Daphnia pulex: one gene and its partner. The protein of the gene in region 1 purifies or fractionates together with the protein of each later gene. This does not show direct contact. Links are inferred from orthologs where the notes say so. Each region holds a gene or a part of one and is shown on either strand. Other genes may lie near its edges.

Region 1 (4,692 bases):
TGACACACCCAGCAAAAAGTGTCATGGCGCGTAAATGTCTTGCTTTGCAATTCCATGAAATGGCTACCAACTTTGGTCGATGGGGTACTTGCTGTTGATGGAGTGCTTGTTATTGATCTAAAGTTTGCAAAAGTGCTACAGTTAGTTACAAATGCTTCGTAACGCCAGCTTCATTTTTTAGTTACTTTTTGTTTCTTTTCTCTTGAATTGGAGAACTATGAGGAGAATGCACGGCATCTGTCCCTCCTGTATCCTCCCATTTGCGCTTTGTGGCTTGTGTTTCCACTTTAACCTGTTCAACTTCGCTAGTTGCACTTCGAACATACGAGTCCATAGAGCTTTTGACAGCAATTTGGTATTTATGCATGAAAGACCTGTAAGAGAAATGGATCTCCAATATATGGCTTTAAAAAACAAGTTCAGATTTCCTTACTTTTGCTTTGCGATTATGTCAGGATTGATCTGTGATCGCGTGGTACGTCCTGCGGAAAGTGACACGTCGTTTGGAGATGGGCTGATGGGTAATTTAGTCCTGCTGGATCTTCTTAGAGCTGCTGATGGAGTTCCTTGCAGTTTAATGCTAGATGCAAAATTTAAAAAGAATTTTTTGAAATTGTTGCCATGTGGAACCCTTGAGAAGGAATAATGTATAGACTTAATTTTTGTATTTACTTTTGGTTTTGGTCTCCTTTGTCAGTAAGACTCTGTAAATCATCTTCTAACTGTTCATTTTCAACTACACCTGAGAGACTGTCCACATTCTTGCCTTCCTGCTTCATTATTGAACCATGGCTAAGAATGAGTCCTGGAGGTGCTTCCTCATCTGATGTTTCTCCAGTAGTACCATCATCCTTTGTAGCTGTTTGAATCCCAGCACCATCTGAGTCTAAAAGTTCTGGCATTTCTTCATCCTCTTCATCCACATCTTCATCTACGTCTTCATCTTCATCCTCCTCAGAATCTTCAGCTATAAAAAGACTTTGTACTTCATCATCATCAATCTGGCTCTGTTCATCACCATTTAGTTGGGGAGTGCCATCCCTAGGTGAAAGAGTGTCGAAGTTTTCACATGCAGTGGCCACATTATCTGCAGGCTCACTGTTTTCACTGTTCAGTTTTCTGGACATTAAACCAACATCCTCCATGACTCTATCACTGGAAGGTTCATTGATGACATCAGCAGTCGCAGCGTTATCCATTCCGGGCAGGCAGCACAGTTTTTCCCTTGTCCCCTTGATATCTGCAATTAGTGATTCCAAATAAATATGTTATTGCGAAACGGAAAATGAACGTAGAATTTAGCAAGCATACCACTGAGGACTGACCTTCCTGTGCTTCGTAGAAACACCGCTAGAGCAGGCGGAATCCGGAGAGGATTTTTCAATCAAACAAGCTCCGCCCACAGGCTATCTATATTTCGGTCCAGTGATGATGCTACAAACAAGAAGAATGTTACAAATTAAAAAGCATCATCAATAATGGTGTCGTGAAAACAAACCCACTCTATAAAAAGGTGTCACGAATCTTGAACCACTTCAGAAGCATGCGATATATTTCAGCTCAGGGTTTCGCCAGAATTATTTTACACACACACACACACACACAGTCACACACACAAGACACACCGGCGGTGTATATAGCAAACAACGTTGTCAATTGGGGATATGAAAAATATTTTTTTTTTCTGCTTTTCACGACACCAATGTTTACGTTTTTACGCTCACTTGGTATGAAGTGAAACGATAATTCACTGTCAGGATGAAAATAATTTCCAAAATACTGTAAATTTTAAGCGAATGCTGTATTTTTAACCTCATTTAGTCTTTATCGATCAATTGCGCGCGCAACTCGTTTCTGAAATCGTCCAGCTGGAGATTGTGACAGGTGAAGAAATCCTTACAATACAAGGTTTGTGGAAAATTATTAGGTTTCATTAAACCGATTTATGGATTGTCTCTTTCTGAAGGCTGAGCTGTGAAAATGGAGTTTGCACATCTCATCAAGTCACCAAGGGTAGAAAAGGTTTTGGTCCACCGCCCACTTCACAAATCTGTTGAAGGGGTGCTATGTATAACTGGGCACCACCTCATTTTCTCTGCTGGAGGAGAAAATCCTGATGAATTTTGGGTATACCAATTTTATTAAGTTTTTTGTAAATTACCTTCACATTGTTTTTTTTTTCATTTTTACAGCTGATTCATAGAATCATAGATTTAGTGGAAAGAAAACCCAACACACCTCCAGCTGCAGGAGGCACTCTTACACTCAAGTGCAAAGATTTTTCTGTTATCAGTTTTGATTTCAATAATACAGAAGAACTGATGAATGTTTCAGCTTCATTGGAGTGCTTATCATCCATAGGTATTTATTACAGATCGGTGCTTATAAGCCTACATCTTCTAAAACCACCTGCTAATAGATCATAATTTTTTTACCACAGAGAATCAGTCTCTTTATTATCCTTTCTTCTATCAGCCAGTTTACACTGCAATAGAAGATGGTTGGACAGCATTTAGGCCAGAAACTGAATTTTCCAAACTAGTCATGCAACAACAGGAAGACTGGAGGATTTCTTATGTCAATAAGGATTATTCAATCTGCTCGTCTTATCCATCTGCTGTTGTAGTTCCCAAGTCGGTCGATGATGACGTCTTAATAGCTGCTGCATCGTTTCGAGTTGGAGGGAGATTTCCAGTTCTCTCATACAGGCATGAAGGAGGAGTAAGTTGCCATTTAATCATAAATATGCTGCAATATTTTTATTTCTTTTTCTTTTTATTCAGGCTGTGATGATGAGAAGTAGTCAGCCTCATTCGGGACCAAATGTTAAGCGTTGTCGTGAGGATGAAAAACTTCTTAACAGTGTGTTGAAACCAGGGATGCGGGGTTACATTATTGATACCCGCCACCAGAGCACAACACCGACCCCCAAAGTATAATATCATTCTTTCAATCTAAAAATCTTGTCTAAATATCTAAAATTTCGTTCCAAAGTCTAAAGGTTCAGGTGGTTTTGAGACCGAATCTCACTACCCTCAATGGCGTCGCATTCATAAACCCATTGAAAGACTGCAGTCTTTACTTGAATCGCTATCCAAACTAGTTGAAGGTAAAAAGCAATATTGTTTGGCCCCCTAAAAGTGACATTTTGACATATTTATTAACCCCTTTTCAGCCTGCCTTGACAATGGCAGTTCTATGGATAAATGGCTGTCCCGCTTAGAATCTTCCCAATGGCTTTCGTACGTAAAAGAAACTATGAATTGTGCCTGTTTAGTTTCTCAGTGCATTGATCAAGAAACTGCTGCTGTTCTACTTCATGGAGGAGAAGGTCTTGATTCTACATTGGCCGTTTCTGCCCTCGCCCAGGTCATTCTTAGCCCTGACTCTCGCACAGTTCACGGGTAAGGTTTAATCCCCTTTGCAAATATCGAAAGGCTTCTATAGTTCTCCTGTGGTTATTTTTCTTTTTCTTCAAGTTTTGAGGCTTTGATCGAGCGTGAATGGATTCAAGCAGGTTATCCCTTTGTTCAACGCCATCACCGCTCGGCTCTGAGTAACACAGTCTCACGGAGCAAAGAAAATGCGCCGACTTTTTTACTATTTATTGATTGCACTTGGCAAATCATGCAGCAATTCCCATGCAGTTTTGAGTTTAATGAAGGATTTCTCCTTCAGTTGGCTCGTCATTCCTATTGGTCTCAATTCGGTAAAAAAGTAATTTAGCCTGGCATAAAACAACACGAAAACTAATGAATTGGATCATTAATCGTTGGGAATAGGTACTTTTCTGGGAAATAACGAATTAGATCGCTATCAAATGCAACTGTCGTCCAAGACTGTTAGTTTATGGTCACATTTAAATCGACCAGAAGTGCTTCGATCTTTCCTTAACCCGCTCTACGAGCCCAACAATCGCGTTATCTGGCCTTCAGTTGCTCCTATGAGCGTGGTATGCATAAATTTTCGTCAATTTAAATTCTTGTTTCTAATTCTAATCTTCTCTGATTCAATTTAAAAGAACTTGTGGCCAGCAATGTACCTCGCTTACGTGGTGGAACCCAGCATCTACGACAATGCCTGGCGTGACATTGCAGCAATTTGTGAGCAGGACAAAGAGCTGCGCTCTAAAGCTCAGCGTCTCCGCCGCCAACTGATAGATTTGGAACGTGATGCCATCGCGAAGGGACTACTTGATAGTCCTAGCAGCATTGGAACAGTCTTTGATTGAGTTTTCATTATATTTTCTCTGCTTGTTTATTATTTTTTCTTCCGTTGAGCAAAACAAAAAGAATTTGAAACTTTAGATGTGACGTTTCAATCTTTTGATATTAAGTCAGCAGTGTAAAGGACTGTCGTGGTTGTAATCTAACCATCTTTCTTCTTCAATCATCATCCATTTCACGGATGCACGAATTCTACTCATTTTTTTCTTCGAAAAAGCCTAAAAGAAAAATACCGACGCGGTGGTTTTTTAAGTGGGGTGAGCAATTCGTGTCATCCCTTCCAGAGTTGCACGACATGTTGTATAAAGTAAAGGAACGTGGTTGACCTTTCCGTATAATCGTGATGGAGTATTCCTCCACTTTGAAAAACCTGTTTTTATTTTTTTGTTATTATTATCTATTCGAGAAAATCTTATATTTAGGCCGTCAAGCAAGAATCTATGAGAACAAAGGAACTTGTGTCCCC
Region 2 (2,379 bases), on another chromosome or scaffold:
TGTTCGAGTTCATTCTTTCGATAGTTGATGCTGATTGAATAGTAGTGGCGATTAAGTCCATGAATCAAGGCCTGGAGAAAAAACCATTAAAAAGTCTTGCAGAATTTAATGTTTTGTAAAATCTAACAAACACACCTGAATTGATGGTTTCTGTAAATGTCCAAGATTTGATGTTGTCTGGCGAGGTTCTTGTCCCAATACCATCATGTTTGGATTTATCAACCTGAATGCATCAATGACAACTTTGCCTGTAAATAAAAAACTATTTATTACAACTGCAAAAAAAAAAATGAATAAATCTGTAATACCTTTGACACTTTGAATAGGGTCAACAACAACAGCGACAGCACGTTCAGACAAGGCCTCAAAGCTCTGCTGTGTGTTGATATCTACACCAGATAACCAACAACCAAATCCAGGATGGGAATGGTACCAGCCAACAACCATTTCAGGGCGGCCAGTTTGCCTGAGCATGTCCAACATTTTAGCTTGAAAAACTGGATCCACAGCTTCAACACTGACACCCTACATAAAGTTTGTTAAGTTACTGTGAGCAAAATTGATAAATGATAATGGTTTCATACTGTTCCTGACTGAGGCATAGCAAATACATCAATCACTCTGACTGTGTAATCGTCAACAAATTCTCCAAGCATAAGTCCCATGACTTCCATTGGAACTCCAGCTCGTCCATGTTTAAGCATTTTCAACAGTGCCAAAGAAGAAATATAAACCTGTTACAACAAAAATGTGAAAACAATTATAATAGGTATAGTAAGTAATTTATTGTAAATGCAAACGAATCTGTCATACCTGTTCGGCTGTGTCGACAACCGGTGCATCAGTTGGCGGAGCAGATTGTCCGAGGCCAGACATCGGGCCACCGAGCCGTAATAGACGATCCATTATCTCTTTAAATTATTAGTTCAAACTTTTTTTCGAATGAAGAAAAAGGAAACTGCTTTGTAGTAGAACGGCCGGTAAAAACAATGAATCCTTCCGTCACAGAATAGTCAATTCACGCTCCGCGCAACGTTTTTCGACGGGTTTATGCTGGTTAGCAACATTGCCCAACAATGAATGAAAAATGTTTCATTATCAGTTTCTATCAAACCCAGTTTTTAATTATCAATATAGATCTTCCATTAAAGAGAATACATTATTGTAAGAAATTTTATTCTTCAGATGTATCTTTTAATTATTATAAAAATTTTATTTGGTCGATTGCGACGTTTGTAGAAATCCAAACGATCGTTTGTCTGACGTCGTTACGAATTCTCTTTGTAAATCAGTTGTTTGACTTGTGAATCACCGAGTCTACTCATCAAAACAAAATGGCTTTGACTCGATCTGTTGCAGCGCTCAAGCTTTCTCGTAATATACCCATTATGAGGTGAGTAGTTAATATTTTAATGAGCATTCTACCTTTGTGACGTGAATTAATTGTCATTTGTTTTGCCTTTTCTAGTCGTTTAGCTTATTACAGCCAAGATGGTGGAGCTGGTGCCATTCGAGAAGCTGGTGGAACTTTCGGAAAGAAGGAAGCCGCTGATGAGGAACGATACTTCCGTAAAATGGTAGAAATATCTTTTTTTACAATTTATGTATAGCTTGTATTGATTTTTTATATGGATGGTAGCAAACTGAACAGCTGAAAACACTTAAAACTCACCTTGATGAGGAGATAACATTTCATCAGCAACGCATGAAGGAACATCAGGATGCAATTGACATTCATCAAAAGAGAATCACAGAGTTGGAGCAGAAAAAGAAAGCCTAATTGTTTGATATGCCTGAGTGTGGTGCAAGGATATCAAAATTCTGGAAGGATGTGTAGCCTTAATGTATATCCTAAAATACAATTCTAGTTTATGGTTGAGCTATTTATTTCCCTGAAAGATGTTGATACTGTAGAAGGAAGTATACAGCCTATGCCCTAAAATATTACTCAACAGGTTAATTTACTTAGGGGACATAATGCCATACACAAAACAGACTTCAAATGAATTTCAACATATAAAAGAACCTTTGTTACATGCTGTGGCAAAAAAAGTATAAATTCAATGGAACATCGTTCGACTGCGAATTATTCGAGGCCATTAATTTTTTGCATTTCTAAAGGAATAATTTTGGGAGCAGCTCTTGTATTGTCTTTCGGGAAATGTATTCAAGATGGCACGCACGACAGTTTTTGATGTAGGTATTCACTTAATTTTGTCTTTTTGTATTGCATCTCTCACCTGACCAACACACTTAACTTGACACTTCACAGCCGAGTACAAGTGAAGAAGTCGGATGCTGTTCATAAGGACACTGTTTCCTCCCGATTCCACGATAAATATTCTGAACTGAAGTTGATAGCCAAGGAAAGTCAGGCAA

What was found.
Region 2: the proteins of myotubularin-related protein 9-like (region 1) and ATPase inhibitor mai-2, mitochondrial-like purify together in Homo sapiens (affinity purification with mass spectrometry; 5 studies listed by BioGRID and IntAct, with this or other methods). This does not show direct contact. The link is inferred for Daphnia pulex from reciprocal best matches to the Homo sapiens genes MTMR9 and ATP5IF1.

What each region holds. Positions count from the first base shown.
Region 1 is NC_060028.1:7,381,138-7,385,829, reverse strand, and holds myotubularin-related protein 9-like, read left to right. Parts: upstream 1-1,678; 5' UTR 1,679-1,908; intron 1,909-1,966; 5' UTR 1,967-1,980; coding exon 1,981-2,127; intron 2,128-2,192; coding exon 2,193-2,361; intron 2,362-2,440; coding exon 2,441-2,721; intron 2,722-2,783; coding exon 2,784-2,933; intron 2,934-2,994; coding exon 2,995-3,109; intron 3,110-3,175; coding exon 3,176-3,404; intron 3,405-3,479; coding exon 3,480-3,709; intron 3,710-3,782; coding exon 3,783-3,952; intron 3,953-4,021; coding exon 4,022-4,231; 3' UTR 4,232-4,306; downstream 4,307-4,692. Other genes in the region: protein kinase C-binding protein 1-like, read right to left, coding at 1-117, 186-374, 434-580, 673-1,199. UniProt on the Homo sapiens protein: Acts as an adapter for myotubularin-related phosphatases. Increases lipid phosphatase MTMR6 catalytic activity, specifically towards phosphatidylinositol 3,5-bisphosphate and MTMR6 binding affinity for phosphorylated phosphatidylinositols.
Region 2 is NC_060022.1:5,168,386-5,170,764, reverse strand, and holds ATPase inhibitor mai-2, mitochondrial-like, read left to right. Parts: upstream 1-1,239; 5' UTR 1,240-1,334; coding exon 1,335-1,393; intron 1,394-1,468; coding exon 1,469-1,577; intron 1,578-1,639; coding exon 1,640-1,780; 3' UTR 1,781-1,879; downstream 1,880-2,379. Other genes in the region: 26S proteasome non-ATPase regulatory subunit 14, read right to left, coding at 1-71, 136-248, 309-525, 585-734, 814-906.